Linked DNA regions of Arabidopsis thaliana. The protein of the gene in region 1 interacts with the protein of each later gene in a biochemical or structural test. Each region holds a gene or a part of one and is shown on either strand. Other genes may lie near its edges. The genes, in order: AMS and SDG4.

What was found.
Region 2: the proteins of AMS (region 1) and SDG4 form a complex in vitro, tested with the Arabidopsis thaliana proteins (one study listed by BioGRID).

Annotation. Positions count from the first base shown.
Region 1 is NC_003071.7:7,329,541-7,334,754, forward strand, and holds AMS (basic helix-loop-helix (bHLH) DNA-binding superfamily protein), read left to right. Parts: upstream 1-2,180; coding exon 2,181-2,281; intron 2,282-2,396; coding exon 2,397-2,564; intron 2,565-2,651; coding exon 2,652-2,724; intron 2,725-2,811; coding exon 2,812-2,880; intron 2,881-2,957; coding exon 2,958-3,572; intron 3,573-3,656; coding exon 3,657-3,911; intron 3,912-3,944; exon of another isoform or gene 3,945-4,014; coding exon 4,015-4,191; exon of another isoform or gene 4,192-4,270; intron 4,271-4,279; coding exon 4,280-4,537; 3' UTR 4,538-4,714; downstream 4,715-5,214. Other genes in the region: UBC23 (ubiquitin-conjugating enzyme 23), read right to left, coding at 5,019-5,214. UniProt on the Arabidopsis thaliana protein: Transcription factor. Plays a crucial role in tapetum development. Required for male fertility and pollen differentiation, especially during the post-meiotic transcriptional regulation of microspore development within the developing anther.
Region 2 is NC_003075.7:15,022,687-15,028,251, forward strand, and holds SDG4 (SET domain group 4), read left to right. Parts: upstream 1-1,757; 5' UTR 1,758-1,859; coding exon 1,860-2,213; intron 2,214-2,523; coding exon 2,524-2,670; intron 2,671-2,920; coding exon 2,921-3,085; intron 3,086-3,196; coding exon 3,197-3,223; intron 3,224-3,399; coding exon 3,400-3,514; intron 3,515-3,613; coding exon 3,614-3,707; intron 3,708-3,793; coding exon 3,794-3,887; intron 3,888-3,973; coding exon 3,974-4,052; intron 4,053-4,140; coding exon 4,141-4,312; intron 4,313-4,397; coding exon 4,398-4,478; intron 4,479-4,575; coding exon 4,576-4,741; 3' UTR 4,742-4,986; downstream 4,987-5,565. UniProt on the Arabidopsis thaliana protein: Histone methyltransferase. Involved in stamen development.

The DNA.
Region 1 (5,214 bases):
GAACGGAATGACACTTGGACTAAATTTTTTAATATGTATATTTTTCTTTCTTAAATCAAAAACTTTACAAACCAATAATTAATGTTTTAATAAAAATTGTTAATGACACAAGCTGCGATTTGAGCTGAGCTAATAAGTTAAAATCATATTTTTCTATCATACCATTATAACATATGCTTAAATATATTCTCAACATATTTTTTTGCCATCCTTAACACTTAAACTTCCAAATGATATAAAATTGATATTTTATTGAATATTATAATACACATGTTCTTTAAGAAAAAAAAGATATCAAAATTACCAACAAAGCTTATAATTAAAAATTGTACTAGCTGAGTCATAAAATTCTTTATTTTAGTTCTGTTTTCCAACTATTTATACCGTAAATATGTCAGAAGAAAATCATATAAAAAATTTGGAGTGGTGTTGTAACAATACTAAACTTTAGGATGTAACTGGTATGTAATCTACTATCTTTTCCAACCAATCGAGTTTGAAGAGGTAGAAACCCACCCTAAAACTCACAATTCATAGATAGTATAATTCTAATAATATAATCTATTTTCTTCTTCTATTATGAAAAGTGATTTATATCACTTCTCCTATTATTAGATTTGTAGTTATAAAAAAAAAAATATTGGTTCCACAATAAGTAATTCTACCTGCAACATACTTTTTTTTAACCAATATATACCTTTCATTAAACAAGAAACCGAATACAAAGTCCTGCCTCCTATAATGAATAACACCTACAACATAACAAGCAAACAGAGCACATTATGAATTACAAAGAGCAAAGCAAGTTGCTAGAAATGAGATTCCATGGAGGCCTAATCTTTGAGCTCTTGACAAAGGATCTAAATGACACCGAATGATGTTTTTAATCTCCATAACGAGATTGTGTAGCAGAGAGTGTCTTTCTTTACAGATGATATACATAGAGGCTTGGTAAGCAAGTCGAATTTACTAATCAACAACAACAACATACTAATCAAATATCCTAAAATGTGTTTATTACTTATTAAAAATTTGATTCTTCCGGAATCGAATTTAAAATCCATCATACAAGCATTAAACTCTTGATCAATGTGCATGGGTAGATCTATGCAAAGCACATAATATAACTATTGAAGACTGAAGAGGAACATGCGTGTAGATATGTATTCAGATGAAGAAACTTACGTCCGACTATGGGAGTGGTTTGTTACGTAATCATGAATTTCAGCTTCATGAAAGGTGGACAGTTGGGTCTATGGATATTTATTAGGAGACAAAGCTAGCTCAGCTTTTGCTAGTTGCTACGCATAACAATATTTATTTGTCGTTTATTCTCAACTCAAATATTTGCATATGTCTTCACACAATTATTTCTGTAAATTTTTATCACTCTATAACATATTTTACGTCGGAACTAAAGAATCAAGGAAAACTAAAATCGAATAATAAGAAAATGACAAAGAAGGGAAAATAAATAGTAGTTGAGACACCGAAAGAAGAATGAATAACCTAAACGCAACGAAGAGAAGCTCTCAACAAAGTTAGTTAGGGTTTTACACGTTATCTTAGCTCATGCAATCTGCCCCTTTCATCATTCTAATTCTTTTTATAATATATACTTTTTATACTAATGTGTTTAGTTACATTCCACATATATTATACAAAAAATATAAAAGTAAATACATACATATACATGATCGTCATGCATGTCCTGCACTTAACCTACCAAAAACAATCTCTCCTAATAAGAGAGAAGAAAGAAAAAAAATTATAACTCAGATATTTTCACACATATATAAATAAAGTTTTGTGGTGACGTTATTTTACACGAAAAAGCTCAACCTTGTATGGAAGTAATTAGCTGCTACCTATTACTGATTATTCTTCTTCTTCTTCTTTCTTCCAATTTCTTGTCTTCTTTTGGTACAATTTCTTGGCTTTCTCTTGTCAAGTTTTCACCAGTCACAAGATTTTTGAGGAGCCTTGTTTTTTCCGAGAATCTTGTGTAAGTTCTTGTTGGCATATTTTCCTCATGATATTTTAGCTCTATCATCATGAAAAATTATACATTTTGTCCCCTCTAGTTATTGTTTCTAATCTCTTTTTTTTGTTACTAACAAATCCATTAAATATTGACGCAATAGATTTGTGCTTTTGTCAGTAATCATATTGAGAGATTAATGGAGAGTAATATGCAAAACTTGTTGGAGAAATTGAGGCCTCTTGTGGGTGCAAGGGCTTGGGATTATTGTGTTCTTTGGAGACTAAACGAAGACCAAAGGTTGATTTGATTCTTTTAATAAGTAGTTAAGCTTTAAAGAGTTTTTATCTCTATCTATCCATCTTTCTTTCTCTTTCGTCACAAATATTTGTTATTGTGGTTTTGGAGGAGACAGGTTTGTGAAGTGGATGGGATGTTGTTGTGGTGGGACAGAACTCATAGCGGAGAATGGAACAGAAGAGTTTAGCTACGGAGGTTGTAGGGATGTTATGTTTCATCATCCTCGGACCAAATCTTGTGAATTTCTTTCCCATCTTCCAGCTTCCATACCTCTTGATTCCGGGTATGATCATCTATAATATATATACAAGCTACATATATTCTTTCATAAGAAACGCCTAGAGATGGAAAAATATGGATTTTGCTATAGGATATATGCGGAGACTCTTCTGACTAACCAGACTGGTTGGTTGAGTGAGAGCTCAGAACCAAGTTTTATGCAGGTACTATTACCCGATTCTTGGAGTTTTGAGTAATCACAATCTCATGAACAAGAAGTATTAATTTTCGGTTTTTCTTATATCCTGTAGGAAACAATCTGTACTAGGGTTTTGATTCCTATACCGGGAGGACTAGTGGAGCTCTTTGCGACCAGACATGTATGTTTATGTCTCAATAATGTTAAGTTTATGGTTTTTTGTATTGTGGTTGTTTGTGATGATGTGTGCGCGTATAGGTCGCTGAAGATCAGAACGTGGTGGATTTTGTAATGGGACATTGCAACATGTTGATGGACGATTCTGTAACGATAAACATGATGGTAGCAGACGAGGTCGAATCGAAGCCGTACGGGATGTTATCCGGTGACATCCAGCAAAAGGGTTCCAAAGAAGAAGATATGATGAATCTCCCTTCGTCTTACGATATCTCTGCTGATCAGATCCGACTCAATTTCTTGCCTCAGATGAGTGATTACGAGACACAACACTTGAAGATGAAGAGTGATTATCATCATCAAGCCTTGGGGTATCTCCCAGAGAATGGTAACAAGGAAATGATGGGTATGAACCCATTTAACACGGTGGAAGAAGATGGGATTCCAGTGATTGGAGAGCCTAGCTTGCTTGTGAATGAACAGCAAGTTGTTAACGATAAGGATATGAATGAGAACGGTAGGGTGGATTCAGGGTCGGATTGCAGCGACCAGATTGATGATGAAGATGATCCAAAGTACAAGAAGAAGTCAGGAAAAGGATCTCAAGCCAAGAACCTGATGGCTGAGAGACGGAGGAGGAAGAAGCTAAACGATAGGCTTTATGCTCTCCGGTCGCTTGTTCCCAGGATAACCAAGGTATCTTGGTTTTCGTCTCTGGGTTTACTTCTTGGTTTCTGAGTTATAATGCGTTCTCTGAAACTAGTTTTTGTGGCATGGAAGTTGGACAGGGCGTCGATTCTTGGCGATGCAATCAACTACGTTAAGGAGTTGCAGAATGAGGCAAAGGAGCTTCAAGACGAGCTTGAAGAGAACTCAGAGACTGAGGATGGATCTAATAGGCCACAAGGAGGGATGAGCCTGAACGGGACAGTGGTCACTGGGTTTCACCCGGGGCTTTCATGTAACTCCAACGTTCCTAGCGTGAAGCAAGATGTTGATCTTGAGAATTCCAATGATAAAGGACAAGAAATGGAGGTTAGAGCATCATAACAAGAAACTAACTCTCACCTTTCTTCTAATCTGAACTCTAAAATCAAAACCTCATGATATCGGTTTATGTTGGGTTGCGGAGTTTCAGCCACAGGTGGACGTGGCTCAGTTAGATGGCAGAGAGTTTTTCGTAAAGGTGATTTGCGAATACAAACCAGGAGGCTTCACAAGGCTAATGGAGGCACTGGATTCTCTTGGACTAGAAGTCACAAATGCTAACACGACTCGCTACCTCAGCCTGGTCTCCAATGTCTTCAAAGTCGAGGTATGATCTAAAGGACCTGCGGAATGGAGAAACAAAAACCAAAGCAAAATATACAAAAACTATATGTTTCTGTTTTCCCATGTTACAGAAAAATGATAACGAGATGGTCCAAGCTGAACACGTAAGGAACTCGTTGCTGGAAATAACCCGGAACACATCTAGAGGATGGCAAGATGATCAGATGGCTACAGGCTCTATGCAAAACGAAAAGAACGAAGTTGATTATCAACACTATGATGATCACCAGCATCACAATGGTCATCATCACCCATTTGATCACCAGATGAATCAGAGCGCTCATCATCATCACCACCACCAACACATCAACCATTACCACAACCAATAAGGACCAATTCCCCAAAGCTATAAAGATGTCTGCTTTACAAGCAAAAGAAACATTCTGCATCAACAAACTTTGAAGATCTTTTCATTTCAAGATATATAAGGATAAAAGGAATGTCAGTTCGAGAACAGTTCCTGTATCCAATACCAGGAATAAACCAAAGCGAAACAACTTTACTTAAATAATCTTTGTTAGAAAAGTAATTTGACAACCCATGACAAAAGAAACAGGTGTTGAAGTGCACCCCTAAAACTTTTAAGTAGGCCCCAAAACATGACCAACCAAAACAAATTCATTTGTCGATATTGTTCGACCAGATGGGGTTACAACTTAGTATCGCTTAATTCTTGTATAACTCCAAAAAAACTCTACTACACACGTTTCAGAAATATCTGAATTTGAAACTTGTAATAGTAAAGAAGCCGCAAACCTTCACTTGGTTCATTGGCAACGATCGGTGTATCCAGCTCCTTTTAGGATTGTGTTATTGCTGCTGCAGATGCTGGAATTCATTGCAGTCAGCTCCTACCTCGCTCAGTGCTGAGAAAAGCTTTGGTGCTATCTTAGCCAGCATAAGCTTAAAACCAACTGAAGTTGAATTAGCGCTGCTGCGTTCATCGATAACCGAGGCATCTTTGGTGAGGGAACCTATGAGATATCCTTTCATGTAGGCGTCACAT
Region 2 (5,565 bases), on another chromosome or scaffold:
TGTTTAAACCTATAGTCTATAATTATTAAATCGAGAACTTTGTTTTTACCCCTCAAGATTTTTTTGTTGCCTGACCCTTAATAACATTGTTGAGTAACTAAAACATATATTTTCGTTTCATTTATACGTTTCCTAAATGATTTGATAATATGGGGAGTGTTGATCAAAACAGATTAAACGAACGAGGTAAATTGAAAGAGTAGGTAACTTTTTATTGGCTTTATGGCATAAGATTCTCCAAGGAGGGTTGATTCATAAGACAAGACAACACGTACATACATATCTATATTTAATTGGTATGAACATGGATTATGTTATTGATTTATTTAAAACGCGTCAAACAATTGGATATAATAATTAAAAACTGAATGAATGGTTCGCTTACCAAAGCAAAATATAGTTGGCCCAGAATTCGATGTTGGCATGTTACGACTACATTGCTACATTGTTATCATCAATGTTTCAGATTATTTTTAATTTGTACTTTCATAGTAATTCACCGCAATGAACGATGAGGAACCATCGAATCGGACTAAACGAGGGTAACAAATTTTGAGTAGTAAAGTGTAGTAACAACAAATGAGTGAACAAAAATCGAATGGAACCGTACGAATATAGTAATAATTTTTGTTGTTCGCCTGCTGAATCTCAAATGATAACCTTTAGGATCTTTTTAGCAAATGATAATCAGTTTGTAATCTAGATTTATTTGGAGTTCTTCATTTTAAAATCAAGATAACGTGGATCCGGTTTGATCCGGTCTAATTCAAATTTCATAATATAAATACAAGAATATTTCAACATTAGCCTAAAAATACATTAAAGAAAAGAGTGTAGTATTTTCAAAAGATTTGTTGTATATCATACAAAATGAATGTATATTGTTTTGTGTATAATTATATACAAAGTTGTCGTGAAGTGAACATATATTCTAGTTTGCTTAGTTGGTCCGTTTTTCATCTAAATCGATTCTTAGACGCCATAATTTCTTGCTAAGAGGATTAAGTATAAACTATGTGTACATGGATGAGTAAATTCTTTGGATTATTTAACGATTACTCATTATCTTTGTAAAGTGTATAAAGAAAGGTGAGTATTGCGTGGTGAACTGTGGAAACCTAGACTCAAAGATCAATACTTTATTAGATTTTGTTGCTAAATATGGTCTAACAAAGCAATTTACGCTAGGTATTTTGTTTGAGTATAGTAATCAAATGAAAACTGAATTATCGAAATTTAGACAATAGACACTAACGAAATGAAAAAAAAAAACGAAATTAAGATGTTATACAAACTGATTAATCCATTTATCTTTCACTAGATGAAATCATAGATCATTTTTCGTGAGTCTGTAAAGATGTATGATAAAAAAAAGAGAGTAATTAATTAAAACATACCTAGAAAGCATATAATTTGATTTAAGTTGTGACATAACGAACCTAAAATGACATGTAAACATATCCAAAAACGAAAACGAAATATCTTGTTTATAACTAACAAACCGAACACTGATCAATACGATATACTTTCAAATCATGATTTGATTAATTTTAGCTATTTGTTCAGTTCCGTTTTGGGAACCGGCATTAATCATTGCGTGTAGCACTGTTATTGGTAGATATGAATGTGGGGGATTTTAGTTGGTAAAGAAATTTAACTAGCAGAAAAAATGTTTGGGGGCAATTAAAACAATATTTAAAATACAAGGACCTTTTTGTATAATATTTTAGGACAAATCTCCCGCCTTAAATTCCCTCCATATTTTTTCATGTCTCTTCGCTTTTCGCCTACCCAACAAAGACAAAACGTAACTGTCTTCTTCTTCTTACTCTTCCATCTTTTGTACTTTCGAGTTTAGGATGTTAGATCTGGGAAACATGTCTATGTCTGCATCTGTTGCTCTCACTTGTTGCCCTTCTTTTCTTCCGGCGGCTTCAGGCCCTGAATTAGCCAAATCTATCAATTCCCCGGAAAATCTAGCCGGAGAATGCAATGGGAAACATTTACCAATGATTCCACCGGAGGAAGAGGTCAAGGACATTAAAATTGCTAATGGAGTCACTGCTTTTACCCGGAAACAGAATCCGTCTGACAGAGTCAAGAAAGGGTTTGTCTTGGATGATCATGTGAAGGATTGGGTCAAGAGAAGAGTGGCTTCTGGTGTTTCAGAGTCGACATGTTTCCTTCCTTTTCTTGTTGGTGCCAAGAAAATGGTATGTTGTTTGTTATGTCAAATTAATGACTTGTGAAGTTTTTAGATTTATTGACATATAGACTACATGGGATTTGGATTTTAGGATATACATAATATCTTGAGTTATGAAGTTTGTTTGAAGTATATTGCATCTGTGAATTGAATTCATCACCTTTTTTTGGCTTTAGTGATGTCCGTGTAAGATCTCATATTCATTTAGATATTGTTTGACTACTAGTTTACTTTTAAAGTCATTCGAATCTTCAAGTCAATTAGTGACTAAGTTATTAGATTTATTGACATAATGACTATATGGGATTTGGTGTCAGGTTGATTGTCTTGTTTGCCATAAGCCGGTGTACCCGGGGGAAGACTTATCGTGTTCTGTTCGCGGCTGCCAAGGCGCTTATCACTCGCTTTGTGCGAAAGAAAGTCTTGGTTTTTCTAAGTCAAGCAAATTTAAATGCCCTCAACATGTAAGATCCTCATTTATTGTTTAGAACTAAGGAAGATTTCTCTTCATTTTTATTGGCTGGCTTTGTATTCAATGAAGCAAATCATATTTTGTTGCTCTTATTTTTGGTAGAAATGCTCAGAGAGACGATAGGCCATCAAATAGGATATACTTAACAGTTAGTTCTAAGTAATAGTGTTTAGGTAGGGAATTGAAATGGATTATTTTGATTGTGTGGTATCATTCAGTTTCTGATAGAATGGAGTATGCAGGAGTGCTTTGTCTGCAAGCAAAGAACACAATGGCGGTGTGTTAAGTGTCCAATGGCTGCTCATGATAAACATTCTCCATGGTCAAAAGAAATACTTCACTTAAAAGACCAACCAGGAAGAGCAGTTTGTTGGAGGCATCCAACTGATTGGCGGCTAGACACAAAGGTTGATTTTTTAGTTTACCGCTTTCATAAGATACTTCTTGAAGCTTCTTACGATTTGTACTTTCATAGAGTTTTACTCACAGGACTGACAAAATCTCTGTTGATTGAGCAGCATGCAGTTGCACAGAGTGAGATTGAGGTCAGTGTTTCTTTGCCACGTGCCAAATGTGACTGTAGTAAAGGAAACTAATTCTTACATAGACTTGCCGCTCGAAAATCAAAAAGAGGGAAGAGATTTGAAAGCTGGATATTTTGTTTTTATCTTACACAATTTCAAGAGCTAGGCACTGAATGTTTATCTACTTTCTTATTCAGGAAGTCTTTTGCCAGTTGCCTTTGCCATATGTGGAAGAGGAGTTTAAGATTGACTTAGCATGGAAAGATTCTGTTGTGAAGGAAGATCCGCCTTCTTATGTGCACATTAGACGCAGTATCCTTTATAGTTTCCACATTCAATATTTCTGCCTTAAAAGTACATAATTCTCATTTTTTCACAACATTAGTGTGTCTTTTCCTTGACTGAGTTAAGATATTTACCTCGTTAAGAAAAAGCGTGATAATGCTAATGATGGTGTTGGGTGCACAAATTGTGGCCCTAATTGCGATAGAAGCTGTGTTTGCAGGTATATTTGTTAATTAACCAAACAAATTTTCTCTGTTAACATTCATTTCGTTTTGAATAGTTTCCGTTTTGAAAAATTTCTCTCAGGGTTCAATGCATAAGCTGTTCAAAGGGATGCAGCTGTCCTGAAAGTTGTGGAAACAGACCATTCCGCAAAGAGAAAAAGATCAAAATTGTTAAGGTAAAACTAGTCTCTAGTTTATGATTCTTGCATTACACTCTTCTTGTGTTTTTTTATCTTGACATGTCATGTTATTGGTTTTACAGACTGAACATTGCGGTTGGGGAGTTGAGGCAGCAGAATCAATCAACAAAGAGGACTTCATTGTCGAATACATTGGTGAAGGTAAACTATCTTGATTTGGTCTTTGAGCCTTATGTTTGTGGTGGAAAGCGACAGAGTTTTTAGTGATTTGTTTTCACTCTATCCACAGTGATTAGTGATGCTCAATGTGAGCAAAGGCTTTGGGATATGAAACACAAAGGCATGAAAGACTTTTACATGTGTGAGATTCAAAAAGACTTCACGATTGATGCTACCTTCAAAGGGAACGCCTCTCGGTTTCTGAACCACAGTTGCAACCCAAACTGTGTATTGGAAAAGTGGTAAAGCATATATTATTTCATATAAATATGTCGATGATGCTCGAGTAAGAGAGCATGAGTCAGTTTGATTATTTTGTTCTAACAGGCAAGTTGAAGGTGAGACCCGTGTGGGTGTCTTTGCAGCTCGTCAAATAGAAGCAGGAGAGCCACTTACATATGACTACAGGTCAAGTTCTTGACCATTTGTTTCTTTTATGTGCTTATAATTAGCCTAAGTAATCTGAGATTCTGATATATTAGCTTCTCTCTTTGTGTAATGGCAGATTTGTGCAGTTTGGTCCTGAAGTAAAGTGCAATTGTGGTTCTGAAAACTGTCAAGGTTATCTTGGGACAAAGAGGAAAGAACCAAACTGTTTGGTTGTATCTTGGGGAGCAAAACGCAGAAGATTGTTTCACCGACCTATAGCCCGTAAACCGCAGCAAGATTAGCTGCAAAATATCTATAAACAATGTGCTTTGATAGTTTGTCTGTTGTCGTTATCTAGTAATCTCTGTGGAGATATAGAACCAATCGTGCTTGTAACCGAAGCTTAGGCCCACAATTGTATAACTGCTAGCTGAAGCCACGGGATAGACCGGTCGGTTATACCATACATTCTTTCAGTTCCATTACAACACAATTATTATTTAACCCTTGTCAAATTTGAATCTGATTTAAGAAAATACATTCCCTTAAAAAAAACTATCTAAAGATCTCGCACTATCATGGCAGAAAATTCGACAGAACAAATTTTTTGATATAACCAAACAGAAGAAAACAAATTATATAAAGACTACAATCATATTACAAAATCGCTATAGCAATCTAAGTATCAAGTTTCATCATGTGACTGGTTTCGCTCTGCCTTGAGCTCATCAGGTGATCGAGTTTCAGATCACGACCAGTTGATTAAGGGTCGGCCTAGTCCCCTTTTTTTGTTTTTATTACAGAAAATACAAAAGTTACAGAGAATACAAGGTCGGGTTGCAGATCACGACGTTACGGATCATCGTGGAATGTGGGTAGAAAGACTCATAAGACTCCATGAATTCGATATGTACCTCAATGGTGCGAGGATCAGGTTTCGGGATACGTCTTTGTTGTTGTTGAAGTTTCTCGACTTTGTTGTTTGATGAAAATATGAAATTAATGTATTATTGATAGATAAGTAAACAACAAAATAGTAAAACCCAAAGATGAACCAAGTGACAAATTGTGACAACTACATGGTAGCTATCCTAATTATCGAACATAAATTTTTCATCAAAAGTCT